Saccharomyces cerevisiae S288C: one gene and its partners. Changing the gene in region 2 together with the main gene of any one other region gives a genetic interaction. Each region holds a gene or a part of one and is shown on either strand. Other genes may lie near its edges. The genes, in order: MDY2, PEX29, UPF3 and NMD2.

Evidence for each region.
Region 1: mutations in PEX29 (region 2) and MDY2 together harm fitness more than expected from each alone (negative genetic interaction), as found in Saccharomyces cerevisiae (3 studies listed by BioGRID).
Region 3: mutations in PEX29 (region 2) and UPF3 together harm fitness more than expected from each alone (negative genetic interaction), as found in Saccharomyces cerevisiae (2 studies listed by BioGRID).
Region 4: mutations in PEX29 (region 2) and NMD2 together harm fitness more than expected from each alone (negative genetic interaction), as found in Saccharomyces cerevisiae (3 studies listed by BioGRID).

The regions. Positions count from the first base shown.
Region 1 is NC_001147.6:107,421-110,564, reverse strand, and holds MDY2 (Mdy2p), read left to right. Parts: upstream 1-1,668; coding exon 1,669-2,307; downstream 2,308-3,144. Other genes in the region: ZEO1 (Zeo1p), read right to left, coding at 1-268; SHR5 (Shr5p), read right to left, coding at 676-1,389; Rab GTPase-activating protein MSB4, read right to left, coding at 2,377-3,144. UniProt on the Saccharomyces cerevisiae protein: Required for efficient mating. Involved in the production of alpha-factor, the KAR9 and TUB1 location to the shmoo tip and nuclear migration into pheromone-induced shmoos.
Region 2 is NC_001136.10:1,414,710-1,418,967, forward strand, and holds PEX29 (Pex29p), read right to left. Parts: upstream 2,166-4,258; coding exon 501-2,165; downstream 1-500. Other genes in the region: SNM1 (Snm1p), read left to right, coding at 1-462; DIG2 (Dig2p), read left to right, coding at 2,690-3,661; alkaline phosphatase PHO8, read right to left, coding at 3,841-4,258. UniProt on the Saccharomyces cerevisiae protein: Involved in the regulation of peroxisome number, size and distribution.
Region 3 is NC_001139.9:632,556-636,296, forward strand, and holds UPF3 (Upf3p), read left to right. Parts: upstream 1-1,748; coding exon 1,749-2,912; downstream 2,913-3,741. Other genes in the region: ENV11 (Env11p), read right to left, coding at 1-1,508; mRNA splicing protein SMD1, read left to right, coding at 3,157-3,597; U4/U6-U5 snRNP complex subunit PRP38, read right to left, coding at 3,592-3,741. UniProt on the Saccharomyces cerevisiae protein: Involved in nonsense-mediated decay of mRNAs containing premature stop codons.
Region 4 is NC_001140.6:251,802-257,643, reverse strand, and holds NMD2 (Nmd2p), read left to right. Parts: upstream 1-1,887; coding exon 1,888-1,893; intron 1,894-2,006; coding exon 2,007-5,270; downstream 5,271-5,842. Other genes in the region: YHR078W (uncharacterized protein), read right to left, coding at 1-1,284; type 2C protein phosphatase PTC7, read right to left, coding at 5,419-5,842. UniProt on the Saccharomyces cerevisiae protein: Involved in nonsense-mediated decay of mRNAs containing premature stop codons. It interacts, via its C-terminus, with NAM7/UPF1.

The DNA of each region.
Region 1 (3,144 bases), on a different chromosome or scaffold from region 2:
CACTGACGGCGGCGGAAGCTTGCTTCTTAGTTTCTTCAACTTTGTTGGCAGCTTCGGTCTTCTTTTGTTCGACACCATCAGCAATGTTTTGTTCTTCCTTCTTCACCTGTTCAGCTTCTGGAGTAGCTTCATTTTTTAGGTTGTCGATAGAAGCTTCAGCTTGTTCCTTTACTTCTTGGCCCTTGTTTTGCAAAGATTCTTTGGTTTCTTCCAACTTTTGTTGGACATCTTGGGCGGCAGTTTCAGCTTTGTTTTGAATTTCAGACATTATTAATTGATATAAACGTAGTTTTGTATGTTTCTTTGATTTGAACTTTTAAGTATACAGAGAAAAAAACCGATCAAAGAAAACTAAAGTATAATGAGGTTAAAAACGAAAGTAATAAAGTAGAAAGGCTATCAAGCAAACTGAGATGATCTTCGACGTAAAAACTCGCTCTATATATATACGCCATATAAGCCCATCGGCGATGGGGGACAACACGAAGAAACAAGAGAAGAGGAGAACCGCACAGAAAGCAGCAGAAACAGAGCAAACCAGCATTAACTAAAGATGATAAAAATAAAATTAGGTAAGAAACCTTAATTGGATATACAAAAATACACTGGAGGCACAAATCGCCATCGATATAAAACACGATAAAGCCCTGGTGCACCCATAAACCACACGTTTAACTATTTGGGTCGGGGCACGACGAAATCTAGGGATAGGCACCCGGACCGTCGGGGCAATACTAGGCGCACACCGCGCTCGTGAAGCAGACCTCCCGGCGAGTTTAGCTGCGCCACGTACTGCTCTAACGCGAGAGACTCCTGAAACACAGGTCTAGAAAGAAGGGGCCCCAAAACCCAGCTCCACAGACCGCCCGTAAGCATATCGAGCAACAGGCCACTTAAGTTACGCCACCCGAACACCTCACCTTCTTCACGCAGCAAGAATCCGTTTACCCGGTGCACAACCTCCGCGAGCTCTGCCGCACTAAGATATTCTGACAGAGGCGAGACGGAGGAGCAGCCAAACACGTGATCCCCAATGTCGTAACGCCCGCACCGCACAAAGCTAGTGCCATCGTCGCCCACGATTGCCGCCGGCTCGCTACCGGGAAGCTGTGTACTAAATTGTGGCGTTTCAAGGCTGCTGCGAGACTCATCGAACCGCCGGGGCACTCGTACCACCCGGGTCACCTGGAACTCGGCAGAGCCCCGAGCAGCATACACATTCGGGAAATGTGTAATACACAATTTGTGGTCTTCGTCGTGCTCTGTGGGTTTAGCGTCTTCGGAACCGAGGTCTTCGTAGAATGAATACGAAAACTCATGGTAATTAAAAAATAACGCCCTTTCGCTCGTATTTGCGTTATCTTCTTCCTTTTGATGGCTATCGCACATCTAGTAAGGGTTAGATTGAGTATTGTCCTCTAATGTAACTTTTTCCTCTTATTCCTCTCCTCCCCTTAGCTATTATATATCTTTTTTACCGAATCTTGAATTAGGAATAGTTTTAAAATCAGGCCGGAGGCCGAGCTTGCGACAACTACGACCAAAAAAAACAAAGGAAAAACGAAAAGAAGAAAACATGCACAGGAGAACATAGTTGGAGAAAAGGGTTAGAACAGACCGATACAGAGATAAACTAGCGAAGAATAATAACTTTATACAAAATTAATCATGAGCACATCCGCCAGCGGTCCAGAACACGAGTTCGTTAGTAAATTCTTGACCTTAGCCACTTTAACTGAACCGAAGCTACCAAAAAGCTATACTAAACCTCTGAAGGATGTTACCAATTTGGGTGTCCCGTTGCCTACTTTGAAGTATAAATATAAGCAGAATCGTGCCAAGAAGTTAAAACTGCACCAAGATCAGCAAGGTCAAGACAACGCCGCCGTCCACTTAACCTTAAAGAAAATTCAAGCTCCCAAGTTCTCCATCGAGCATGATTTCAGCCCATCAGATACTATCTTACAAATAAAACAGCACTTGATCAGCGAGGAAAAGGCCTCCCACATAAGCGAGATAAAACTGCTTTTGAAGGGCAAAGTCCTCCACGATAACCTGTTCTTATCGGATTTGAAGGTCACGCCTGCCAATTCCACAATCACAGTCATGATTAAGCCGAATCCGACTATATCTAAGGAACCCGAAGCCGAGAAATCCACTAACTCCCCTGCTCCTGCTCCTCCACAGGAACTCACTGTGCCCTGGGATGATATCGAGGCTCTTCTGAAGAACAATTTCGAGAACGATCAGGCTGCGGTTAGGCAAGTCATGGAGCGTCTACAAAAAGGCTGGTCTCTGGCCAAATAAGATTAGTATAGTTAGTACGTACATACTTGTTATTTTACACAGTTGCGCTTTTTATCACGGTTGCGCTTACTATTTTCTTCTTTCCTTTGGGCGGCTACTCGCCCTTTGTCTATTTCTCGCCATCGCCACATACTCTCTACCGCGATCAATCTTTTCCTGGGTAATACCATTCAACGCAACCTTCTTCTTCATCAGGACTTTCTCAAAGATATCATTCGGATTGAGCAATCTTTTTGGGAAATTTTGAATCACTTGCAAAATCTCCATATCTGCCTCTTCCTGCGTCTTAATCTTGTTCTTTAATCTTTTGAAAGTTGAATCAGAGTCATTACTACCACCGAAGGTGTACGAAGAGTACTGTCTAAACAGTTTCTGGCTTTTACTCTCCAAAAACTCGCTTTCGCTCAATTTCAGTATCCCCAAAGCCACTTTAAATAAAAAATGAGACTCTTCATAGAATAAACAGTCCCATATTCTCAGGGTCGTTTCGATGGGCACCACGCCCACAAAACAGCTCATAAACCAACTTGCCGTACACAGCGTCAGCGTAGGCAGCCTGCAGAGATATTCTTCCCCCGATGCTGGCCCTGATATCTGGTCAGTGCTGCCATTGCCATTCATATACGATGACTCAATGTGTGACCATATCTCGGGTAAATATTCCTTGATACATAACACCAACACCCCTTGATCCACGTTCGCACCCTCTAAGTCTGATTCATACACGCCAGGTAAATACTTACCGGTAATAATAACCAGCATCCAAAATGCTTTCTCTTCTTCCATGAACAATAATAGCAATCCAACGAGAAAATTCATCGATTGGCAGTATCCAAT
Region 2 (4,258 bases):
CGATATCAAATCATGCTGCCAGAACAACTGAAAAGTGGGAAATTTTGCTCCCATTGCGGGTGTGTTTACGTTCCTAATTTTAACGCAAGTCTTCAGTTAACGACTAATACCGAGCAAGGTGACTCCGACGAACTTGGCGGCGAGAGTATGGAAGGACCAAAAAAATGTATCCAGGTTAATTGCTTGAATTGTGAAAAGTCTAAATTGTTTGAGTGGAAATCTGAGTTCGTTGTTCCAACATTTGGACAAGATGTTAGTCCGATGATCAATAGTACCAGCAGCGGGAAGGTTTCGTACGCGGTAAAGAAGCCCCAAAAGAGTAAAACTAGTACTGGTAAGGAGAGATCCAAGAAGAGAAAGTTGAACTCACTTACAAACCTTTTATCGAAAAGAAATCAAGAGAAAAAAATGGAAAAGAAGAAAAGTTCGTCACTGTCATTAGAAAGTTTTATGAAAAGTTGACTGTATCATCAGTGAACATATAGTATAACAAATCAAGTTTATATAGTTGAATTGAGAGTGTCTGTTAGCTCTTCGATTGACGGATAAGATGCATCCGCGTCGATATTGTTGAGATTAGGAATAGTACCGTTTATACTTTCCTCATCAGCGCGGTCATCATCACTACTGTGAGTTAGACCGCCACTCATTGAACCCTTCGTCACGCCATGTACGCCTTGCCTATATGTTTCTTCCCTCAATGGATTAACTACTTCCTCCTCACCAAGGTTTGAAGAAATACCAGAATCCAGTTTTTTCCGCACGCAACTGTTGGTCCACATTCGCCTTCTATATGAGCCCCTTTGTCCATCAAGATTGAGGTCATAGACCCATTTTGTTTCTGAATCTATCTCGACATACTGAATAAATTCGTCCTCTACCCATTCTTTTGGATCCAAATCAAGCACCCAATGAGAATTGGCTTCCCATTCCCAATCCTTAGGTGGCTCAATTTCTTCTAATGACTTCACTGAATTTTCCTCAATACGCCTCTGGTATATTCTCAAACTAGAGAAAAGAGAATAATCGTCATCAGAGAATCCAACTGGGCGCCATTCTTTGTATTCAGGAAGATACTTTTGGATCTCAAAGATCATAACAAGTCGGTGCTCCCTAGCCTCAATGAGTTTCAAATGCTGCAAAATCTTAGATTCCAGATTAGTACTTATAGTCAAAGTTTTTAATCTTGTCTCCTCCGAATTCAATTTAGTCAACAAATATTCACGATTGGACGGATGCGAGGCAATAAAAAAACCCCAACCTAGCAGTATCAGTACGGGTCTCATTGGAATGAGCTTGATAAATTTATCCATGTACAGAAAATTTAATGTTGCTATTATTAACAATACAATAAAATAAAACGACGAAATAGCCTCGTTGGTGAAGAATGCAAACTTTTGTAATATGAGTAAAGTAAAATCGTAGAATTTAACATATAGCAGCATATGGTTTTGTAAATCCGTGAGGTTTAAGACAAATTCTTGGCTCAGTTCAGGGACTGGTTTAGGAACCTCAGGTCTTCGCAAAGGTGGGCCTTGTGCTGGTGTTTGATTATTATCTAGATAGCTTGTAGGGTTTGGCTTATGAATGTAAAGGTATTGCGGGACCATTACGCAGAATAACAAATAGAATATAGGGAGCGAAGAAAGCATTTGAAAAGGTTTCAATATAATGAGCGTGTATAAGAACATGATAGATACTGTATACGCTGGGTTAGTCCAGTTTAATATCTTTATTAATTCATCCATAATCATGAATGGTACCCCTAGTCTCGAGTTCATCTGTATAAAATTCCTACTCGTGATCTGCACAGACAGCTTAGGCCTTTCTTTACCAGCAACCATACGATGGTGAATTGTATCAACAGCCGTTTTGGAAGATGGTGGTAATGCCATTTTGATTATCTTCTCTACCAGGGTATCTGCCATCATCTTTTGGATGTTTGATGTCGAGGGAAAACCGCCACCACTAGTTGGCTGTCCACTGGAAGATGGCAGACTACCACGTGTAGGATCACTAGTTCTAGAACCACTAGATATGCTCTCTTTCTTTGCCTGACTTTTTCCATCTATGCCATTTTGCACTTTCTTCCCCTTGAGAGTTGATCTAGTTGGAGTACCAGCATTATAGGTGTCATTCCAGAAAAAATTTGTCACCGAGTCCATCTAGACGTATATACAGTAGGAGACTGAAATTTTGCTACGTATACAGGTGAGTATATTCATGCGGCCTGATCAGTAATTAAAAATACACACTATTCCTCGTTGTTATTTCTTAAAATTAGTTCAAGAAGAAGGGGTAACCCCTAAGCTTCTTAAGTTCACCACAAAAGTATTACTGGATAGTGAAACAACAACCACCCATAACATTAGTTTCCTAAACACTACGGCGGTATTCACCTAGACGCCATCCTAGAAGGCTACAAAGTGATGCACGTATGATGATATCGGACATTAGAGCGTATACATACAACAGGTACACATAAAATTGTGATATGTCACAGCTTCATCACCCGGCGGACACGTCTATTAAATTATCAATAATTACATAATGTGCAGATCAAATAAACAATAAACATACAGCCATTTAAATTTTGGTTATTAATGTTATTTTTCATTTCTATTGCTTGCAGTGGTATTTATGTGGTATAGTTAAGCCTGCAGGAATATTTAAGCAAAGAGGGAAAATTATGAATAAAGAAGAGCAAGAAGACCCACAGCAAGAGCAAATATCAACTGTTCAGGAAAATGATCCCAGGAATTTGCAGCAACTGGGAATGCTGTTAGTATCTCCAGGGCTTGATGAAGACAGATTGAGTGAGAAAATGATTTCGAAGATCAAAAAATCCAGGGATATCGAAAAAAATCAAAAATTGCTCATATCTAGGCTGTCGCAAAAAGAGGAAGATCATAGTGGTAAGCCTCCTACCATTACGACTTCTCCAGCAGAGAAAACCGTACCCTTTAAGTCGCTGAATCATTCTTTAAAGAGGAAAAGGGTACCTCCAGCGCTAAATTTTTCCGATATACAAGCATCTTCTCATTTGCATGGATCTAAAAGTGCTCCACCAAACATAACAAGATTTCCGCAGCACAAAAATAGCCTTAGGGTCAGATATATGGGTAGGATGGCTCCTACGAATCAAGATTATCATCCTTCAGTGGCCAATTCATATATGACAGCAACCTACCCTTATCCATATACTGGACTGCCACCAGTACCATGCTACCCATATTCTTCAACTCCAACACAAACGCACGCATACGAAGGCTATTATTCCCCGATGTATCCCGGCCCCTTGTATAATAATGGTATAATACCAGCCGACTACCATGCAAAGAGGAAGAAGTTGGCTGGTAGATCACCACACTTGGAAGATTTGACATCGAGAAAAAGAACCTTTGTCTCCAAACACCACAACGGAGACCCAATCATAAGTAAGACTGATGAAGACATTGAATGCTCTGTCACGAAAAATTCATTAAGTGAGGGCGCTTCACTTAACGACGATGCCGATGATGACAACGACAAAGAAAGGATCATTATTGGAGAAATCTCTCTGTATGATGATGTTTTCAAATTTGAAGTTCGCGACGACAAAAATGACTATATGAAAGCATGTGAAACAATCTGGACTGAATGGCATAACTTGAAGAAATGACGAGATTTCACTTCTTCACGCTATAGAATGCACCTAAAACTCGCCTGCACTCCGAAACGAAATGCGATACAGTACGTGTCATGCGGTTAGTATATATACATATATATATATATATATATATTCAAATAAATTATAACGTATTAAATAATATGTGAAAAAAGAGGGAGAGTTAGATAGGATCAGTTGGTCAACTCATGGTAGTATTCGTCATAATGTTGTACTTCACTAGCTATTTCTGTAGCATCAAAATCTGATGTGTGTTTGGTGTCCCTAATCAAATCAGTGACTTCGTTCAGGTTCAATTCTAAAAAGTTTTCTAAGAACTGGCCAACTTCCGTATTTTCGTGATTGCCTTGTAAATTGTTCAAGACATATGACCATGTAGCTTTCTTATTGGCGTATGCATATATGTTGACGTCGACTGCGCTGTGACCATGCGTGGTCCAGCCAATTTGGGCCCTAAATGATACCATGTCATTCAGTTTGTCTTGGATAGCATTTGCGTTGTCATCCAAATGAATTAATGTTTCTAAATCGCTATCCGTGTAATCGTAAATACCCAAATCTTTTTCCAGGATCTCATGTTTGATGAAATTT
Region 3 (3,741 bases), on a different chromosome or scaffold from region 2:
CTCTTCAAAGCTGAAAATCTATCGCAGTTACAGGAAAGGATTGAAGTAAGTTCATTGCAGTTAGGTTGTGTATAATTTTGGCAGTATAATAGGAAATCCGATTTTAGGGAGTCGTTTAAGTTAACTTCTTCTATCAAACAGCATATTTTGCCGAGAATAGTAGATGATAAATCAATATGGGAAAAATCTATTAATGAGTCTAACAAAGAGCCTCCTGAATGATTTTCTTTGGCCACAGAAAAGGAAGACAGCATTGATTCAGTAGGAACATTAAACAACGGCTGTAAAAAACAATGAAGTAATTCAGATACTATGCAAGTATGGTACTTTATCTCCCTCACACTCCCGCTATGGAAAGTAAAATTATGACTGTTTCTATTCTCTAGTACCATTGTATAATGGCTTTGAGGCAAAGTTATAGAAATCACCGATTTTTGTAAGCCAGGGTATTTCGAATACAAATTGTTGAGCTGTTCCTGCCAGACACTAATATCTATATCCGTTGTTTTACGTACAAAAATAGATAATGGTAAACCCTTCGAAACTTTGTTGGTATTATCGAACAGTTGCAAAGAAAATAATGATCTTTTTCCAGCCAGTTCTGTAAAATTTACAGAAATAAGATGGGATAAGTCCAAGTTAGACAATTGTGCCCGAATTTCCCTAGAATATTTCAAGTAAAGAGGTTGATTTGATTCCTTACTATCGGATAAATGGATAGTAAAGGGTAATTGTGTATCATTCCTTGATATAGACCTTCTGATCAACTCATCAATTGATTTTGACAACCCTATAATTGACTCCTCTATTATATTGGTAGTTAAAGGAGGGATCCTATGAAATTTTGATAAAAGAGATTTAAAGGACACATTCTCAAAGAAGTTCAGCGGTAAATTTTCTGAGGCTATGACTATGGCTACTAATTGGGAAATAGAAAGGTAATTACTGCTCTGTAATTTTCCTATGTCAAAGCATTTGAAACTTTGGTCGGAATTGAAGGTTAACGAATCATAGCCGTGTCTACGTGTAATTTCTGTGCTGGAAGTATTGTTTTTGAGATTGGAGTCTCCTACTGTGAAATTCATGGAATAGAAGTTTTTATTGGCACTTATATTATGCTTTGTTTTCAAGTGAGATCTAAAGGTTTTTGTCAAACTTGCATCGCTTCTTGTTAGTATCTCTCCACAATGTTTACATTTAACTTTCGTTAATTTCTTTTCAATTGCTAGAAAATGGGACCAGAACTTTGCTATATTCTTCTTGAGCATTTGAACCGGAATCCATATATTTAACCCATCATTTATGATTTCGTCTTCCGGATGAATTCTACTTGATAGGATTTTATTGCCGTCTTTTTCTATAAGTTCTATATCCTCAGTATCGTCTTCTTCCTCGTCTTCCTCCTCATGACTAGTAGAGTGAGAAGATGAATGATCAGAATTATTGATGATTTCGTTATCTTCTAAAGTCACCAAATCCCCATGTAAATCATCCAATGCAGTGTTCATATTAATGATTGAGTAGATTGGTACATATGCTATTTCGGAAGACTTTTGTTATTCTATGGTTTATCATCCCTTTATTTATTTTGTGTATTGTTTGCTGATCAAAAGTTGAAAATTTTTCGCCTAAAAAGTAAGATACAAAAGAAAATATTGTCGATGATTATTGCATGAATATATCAGCAAAGAGGAAAGGAAAACCTACTGAGGGACTTACATTTCTGCTGAAATATATAGTAATCTATCATGAGCAATGTGGCTGGGGAATTGAAGAATAGTGAGGGGAAAAAGAAAGGCAGGGGAAATAGGTATCATAACAAGAACAGAGGAAAAAGTAAGAATGAGACGGTAGATCCTAAAAAGAATGAGAATAAGGTTAATAATGCTACTAATGCTACCCACAACAATAGCAAAGGCAGAAGGAATAACAAGAAAAGGAACAGAGAGTATTATAACTATAAAAGAAAGGCTAGATTGGGTAAATCAACCGAGAATGAAGGATTTAAGCTTGTTATTAGATTGCTACCTCCAAATTTGACTGCAGATGAATTTTTTGCCATCTTACGAGATAATAATAACGATGATGGTGATAAGCAAGATATCCAGGGTAAACTCAAGTACAGTGACTGGTGTTTTTTTGAAGGTCATTATTCTAGTAAAGTATTCAAAAACTCGACATATTCTCGGTGCAATTTCTTGTTCGACAACTTATCAGACTTGGAAAAATGCGCAAATTTCATTAAAACTTGTAAATTCATTGATAATAAGGATAATATTACAATTCCAGATATGAAACTGTCGCCCTACGTAAAGAAATTCACTCAAACATCAAAAAAGGATGCCGCGCTAGTAGGAACAATTGAAGAAGACGAAATTTTTAAAACATTTATGAATTCAATGAAACAGCTGAATGAAAATGACGAGTACTCATTCCAAGATTTTAGCGTATTGAAATCTTTAGAAAAAGAATTCTCAAAAAGCATAGAGTTAGAAAATAAAATAGCAGAAAGAACAGAAAGGGTGTTAACAGAGCTGGTTGGAACTGGTGATAAGGTCAAGAATAAGAACAAAAAGAAGAAAAATAAAAACGCCAAAAAGAAATTCAAAGAAGAGGAAGCATCCGCTAAGATACCAAAGAAAAAACGGAACAGAGGCAAGAAGAAGCGTGAAAATCGTGAAAAAAGCACCATTTCTAAGACCAAGAACAGTAATGTGGTTATTATTGAGGAAGCGGGTAAAGAGGTTTTGAAACAAAGGAAGAAGAAAATGCTTTTGCAAGAGAAGTTAAAAATATCAAACTCCTCTCAGCCTCAGTCATCATCCGCTCAAACCCAGCCGTCGTTCCAACCTAAAGAAAACCTTTTCGTACCACGGGTAAAAATTTTGCATCGTGATGATACCAAGAAGTAGTAAAAGCTCATGGCTTCTTATATATTATATATGGAATACATTTATAATAAAATAATAAGAATTATATATTTTATGATTATATTATTACATAAAGTATTCCCCATTATAAATTCTGAGTTTCGTATTTAATGATTTTTCAATGAATATTTAAAATAATAAAATATATGAAATGTTCATATACAATGAAATTGTCATGAAGAAAGATGACTCCAAGTATCGTTTATAAATCGTCGAGAAAAAGATTATGAAGTTGGTTAACTTTTTAAAAAAGCTGCGCAATGAGCAGGTTACCATAGAACTAAAAAACGGTACCACCGTTTGGGGTACACTGCAGTCGGTATCACCACAAATGAATGCTATCTTAACTGACGTGAAGTTGACCCTACCACAACCCCGACTAAATAAATTGAACAGTAATGGTATTGCGATGGCTAGTCTGTACTTGACTGGAGGACAGCAACCTACTGCAAGTGACAACATAGCAAGTTTGCAATACATAAACATTAGAGGCAATACCATAAGACAGATAATCTTACCTGATTCCTTGAACCTGGATTCACTTTTGGTTGACCAAAAGCAACTTAATTCCCTAAGAAGATCGGGTCAAATTGCAAATGACCCCAGCAAAAAGAGAAGGCGCGATTTTGGTGCACCAGCGAATAAAAGGCCAAGAAGAGGTCTATGATTCGCTGCTGGTGTCGTTGTCATCTTCACTGTCACCATTACTTTCGCTTTCGCTAGAACTACTCTCTTCATCAGAGTTGTATATTTTATTCCATTGACATTTCCCTAATGGAATACCCCAGATATGGTCCTGTGTGGCCAACCA
Region 4 (5,842 bases), on a different chromosome or scaffold from region 2:
GAACTTTATGGGCAAAAGGGTCACAACGTAGGAGATGGTGGTATTGACAGCAGAAAGACAGCAAAGAAAGAGAGAAATTGACAAAAATAACGATATCTGTTTTGTTAACGAATCGAGATCGTGCTGGTAATTGAACCTGAAAAACGAAAAATCCAAAATATTTGCTATCGTAATGGCTAAAGGATCGGATGCTGCATTTTCACTAAAATTTTCATAATCGTAGTCATCTGGATATTTGAGCGAGTGGTATATGATATAGGGGATTCTTTTCAGGAAAGTTATTATTAGTTTATGAAGACAGTATATGATAAACCCGACTTCAAAAGCTTTCTTAAAAGTGCGTACCTGAGGGGACTGTTGTAATAATGCTTCCAATTTCCCAAGCTCCAGTTGATACCAGGCGATTTTTTCCATCAACTCTGCTTTAAAAGTTGAGTTTTCTCCGACCTCTTCTTCTAAACTTCTTAATATTTGTACATTTTGTTCAATGTTGTGTTCATAATCTTGGATTTTTTCCTCTATATAGGCGTCTGTTGTCCATAAGAGAGATTTACTGTTATTGTTGCTGTTGTTGATGTTTCTAAAACTGGGGTCTGACATTGGTGTATTACGAAACTTGTGCCAGATGACTAAAAAGTTGTAGTATAAACTAGAAACAGTGGCTAACCCAGATAGGGAAGCCATGACTGTGACGCCTCCGATGGACAATCTAGTTAGAATATTTTTTGTGTACTGGAACGGTCCAATATTTATGTAACTTAACAGCGCAATAAGTGTGGACAAGATTATGCATGTCACTATTATCAACCTATCGATATCGAACTTGTCATTGTAGAATTTATTCAGTAACGATATTATAATGAAAAAGGGCTGAAATAAAATTAGTATGAAGGATAGCATGATTGCAGTCAGAGGCCACACCCAAGTCGTTATGAAAGTAACTTCCTTGTCCATTCCAGCAACCTTAATCTGCCATAGAATAATCTCTATGGTTACTGTATACGTCATCATTGCTAATGAAAAAAGGACTCGCAGTGATTGCAGTACCTTATGTGAGGGTAAAGAATACTCTGTGTAGAATTTATTTATGAAATTACCCATACTAGACACATCCTCATTCGAGCCAACTTCCATTTTGCTTGCCAACGGAATGACATTTTTCTTCGAGGAAGTTGATATAATGTCAAACAAAGACCCTACTTTAAACCAGAGCCTTTCATAGGAGCATTTGTAAGCAAATGCTCCGGATACGGAAAGCACTATAAATACGATAAGTGCCTCCATCCCGTCCACCACTTAGTCTACACTCAATAGTCCTTTCTAGTGCAGGTCCTGGAGGCAACCGCCAGAGTTGAGATCTTTTCCTTTTCTTTCCCTGCTGGTCAATTTTTATTGTTCAGGACTCGGTCATCGCAGATATCGCAATTTTTCACTCGTTTGAGTCTAGACTGTAAAATAAAACCGAATGGTTAAGCTAAAATAGACTCTGTATGACTAAGTCGTTCACTAAAGTTCATTATTTCATGCCTGAATGACCTTTATCTTAATTATGCACCATCATATAGCGTTTCTATGATCACTACGGGATATTATGATATTGTTAGGGGGTTATATTGAATATTTCTTAGGGCATGAGGATGATATTAGGGTTATTAATAGGTTTACAATTATATAATTTATGTGATAATTATCACTTGATACGAATTGATGGAGCCTGCTTCTTTTTTTTTTTTTCACTTTCTTGGCAGTCACTGAAAAACTGCATTCGAATACAGGTTTGAGAAACTAATGAGGCCCATATTACTTTACAATGAACAGTAACAATCAACTTAAATGCTTAAATAATCTAATATTGTATCTGCATTGATAATACATTGGACAGAAATTATGGACGTATGTTTGATTTATCTTACTGTGGCCAGATCGGCCTTTCAGTACTTCTAAGGTTTTATACTAACTTCTTTTATTGATCGTTGTAAACTACGGTAACAATTATGTATCAACAGGATGGACGGAAAAAAGAATTGCATGATTTGAACACCCGAGCTTGGAATGGCGAAGAAGTCTTTCCCCTGAAAAGTAAAAAACTGGATTCCAGTATAAAGAGAAACACTGGCTTTATAAAAAAACTAAAGAAGGGTTTTGTGAAAGGTTCAGAATCTTCATTATTGAAAGATTTAAGTGAGGCGTCCTTGGAAAAGTACCTATCAGAGATAATAGTGACGGTAACAGAATGTCTGCTAAATGTTTTGAATAAAAATGATGACGTAATTGCCGCTGTTGAGATCATAAGTGGACTTCATCAAAGGTTCAATGGCCGATTTACTAGTCCGCTTTTAGGAGCTTTTTTACAAGCTTTTGAGAACCCCTCTGTTGACATTGAATCCGAAAGAGATGAGCTTCAAAGGATAACCAGAGTTAAAGGTAATCTTCGGGTATTTACCGAGCTTTATTTAGTTGGAGTTTTTAGAACATTGGATGATATTGAGTCGAAAGATGCTATTCCAAACTTCCTACAGAAGAAAACTGGGCGAAAGGATCCGTTGTTATTCAGTATTCTCAGAGAGATTCTTAATTATAAGTTCAAATTGGGCTTTACTACCACTATTGCGACCGCATTTATTAAGAAATTTGCACCTTTGTTTCGCGACGATGATAATTCTTGGGATGATTTAATATATGACTCGAAGTTAAAAGGTGCGTTACAGTCTCTGTTTAAGAATTTTATAGACGCCACTTTTGCGAGGGCCACAGAACTGCATAAGAAGGTCAATAAACTGCAAAGAGAACATCAGAAATGCCAAATAAGAACGGGAAAATTGAGAGATGAGTACGTAGAGGAGTACGACAAGTTACTTCCAATATTCATTAGGTTCAAGACATCTGCAATTACTTTGGGAGAATTTTTTAAGTTAGAAATTCCGGAGCTTGAAGGTGCCTCTAATGATGATCTGAAAGAAACAGCTTCTCCAATGATCACGAATCAGATATTGCCACCCAACCAACGATTATGGGAAAATGAAGATACAAGGAAATTTTATGAAATCTTACCAGATATCTCAAAAACAGTAGAAGAATCACAATCTTCTAAAACAGAAAAAGATTCAAACGTTAACTCAAAAAATATCAATCTATTCTTTACGGATTTGGAAATGGCAGATTGTAAAGATATAATCGATGACCTTTCAAATAGATATTGGTCATCATATTTGGACAACAAAGCCACAAGAAATCGAATATTGAAATTTTTCATGGAAACACAAGATTGGAGCAAACTGCCAGTGTATTCCAGATTTATTGCAACAAATAGCAAATATATGCCGGAAATTGTTTCTGAGTTTATTAACTACCTAGACAATGGCTTCAGGAGTCAATTACATTCTAATAAGATTAACGTTAAAAACATCATCTTCTTCAGTGAAATGATTAAATTTCAATTAATACCATCGTTTATGATTTTTCATAAGATTAGAACATTAATCATGTATATGCAAGTTCCAAATAACGTAGAAATTTTGACGGTTTTGTTGGAGCACTCAGGGAAATTTCTGCTAAATAAGCCAGAATATAAGGAATTAATGGAAAAAATGGTCCAACTAATCAAGGATAAAAAAAATGATAGGCAATTGAACATGAACATGAAAAGCGCCTTAGAAAACATAATTACTTTACTTTATCCCCCTTCTGTAAAATCATTAAATGTTACGGTAAAAACAATAACGCCTGAACAACAGTTTTATCGCATATTAATTAGAAGTGAACTAAGTAGCCTAGACTTCAAACACATTGTCAAGTTGGTTCGGAAAGCTCACTGGGACGATGTAGCTATTCAGAAAGTGCTGTTTTCTCTGTTTTCAAAACCACATAAGATTAGCTATCAAAATATTCCCTTATTAACAAAAGTTCTAGGCGGTCTATACAGTTACCGCCGCGATTTCGTCATCAGATGTATAGACCAAGTACTGGAAAACATTGAGCGAGGCTTAGAAATTAACGATTATGGACAAAACATGCATAGAATATCAAATGTCAGATACTTAACTGAAATATTCAACTTTGAAATGATAAAATCCGATGTTTTGTTAGATACTATCTACCACATTATTCGGTTTGGTCATATCAACAATCAACCCAATCCATTTTATTTAAACTACTCAGATCCACCGGATAATTATTTCAGGATTCAACTAGTCACTACAATTCTGTTAAATATCAACAGGACCCCTGCAGCTTTTACTAAGAAATGCAAACTTTTGCTGAGGTTTTTCGAGTATTATACTTTTATTAAAGAACAACCTTTACCCAAGGAAACAGAATTCAGAGTTTCAAGCACATTTAAAAAATATGAGAATATTTTCGGAAACACTAAATTTGAAAGGTCAGAAAATTTGGTAGAAAGTGCCTCAAGGTTGGAAAGTTTACTGAAATCATTAAACGCAATAAAAAGTAAAGACGACAGAGTGAAGGGATCTTCTGCAAGCATTCACAACGGTAAGGAGAGTGCTGTTCCTATCGAGTCAATCACCGAAGATGATGAGGATGAAGATGATGAAAACGACGATGGTGTCGATTTACTAGGAGAAGATGAAGACGCGGAGATAAGTACACCGAACACAGAGTCAGCGCCAGGAAAACATCAGGCAAAGCAAGACGAAAGTGAAGATGAAGACGATGAGGACGATGACGAGGATGATGACGATGACGATGACGATGATGATGATGATGGAGAAGAAGGCGATGAGGATGATGATGAAGATGATGATGATGAGGATGATGATGATGAAGAAGAAGAAGACAGCGACTCTGATTTGGAGTATGGTGGTGATCTTGACGCAGACAGAGATATTGAAATGAAACGAATGTATGAAGAGTACGAGAGAAAACTAAAGGATGAGGAAGAAAGGAAAGCGGAAGAAGAATTGGAAAGGCAATTTCAGAAAATGATGCAAGAATCCATAGACGCAAGGAAAAGCGAAAAGGTTGTTGCCAGTAAAATTCCAGTAATTTCGAAGCCAGTCAGCGTTCAAAAACCTTTATTATTAAAAAAGAGTGAAGAACCTTCTTCAAGCAAGGAGACCTACGAAGAGTTATCCAAGCCAAAGAAGATTGCATTTACGTTCTTGACTAAAAGCGGTAAGAAGACACAATCAAGAATTTTACAATTACCAACGGATGTGAAATTTGTCTCTGATGTCCTTGAAGAAGAAGAGAAACTAAAAACCGAGCGAAACAAGATTAAAAAGATTGTTTTAAAACGTTCTTTCGACTGAGATTCTTTTGCGAATATAGTTCTTTAAATTTTTACTATATATGCCCACTTATGTTTGGCTCTATTAAATGGCTACGTGTTTATATAGTACCGTTTATGACGCTGTATTTTTATTTACACTGCTTTCCAGGAGATTAAAGAGCGGAGTGTTAGTCAACTCTCACGACAACAACAGTTATATCGTCTTCTTTACCACCGCTGTAGTTTTTGCCAGTTAGCTTAGAAATCTCTTGCGCAAAAACACTGGGGTAATTGGGGTCCTTGCTTAAACTGACAACATTGTCCACAAACTTCTGGGATAATAGCTGTAACTCATCGTTTGTTCTCGCAGCGTTATCCTTCAGAAAAAGCTCAATATCATCTGTGGCAATATTATCGGTTACACCATCGGTAGCCAATATAATAATATCCTTTTTTTTCAATTGGAAGCTATATTCATCAGCGTCTCTGGGGGTGTTTAAAATATACTTGCTACCCCTTCTTTCGGCCTCTTTCAACATTTCTTCTGGAATGATTGACAATTGGTAAGGAGCATTAAATCCAACAGTTTGAAACTTTGTCTGGAATACAAGT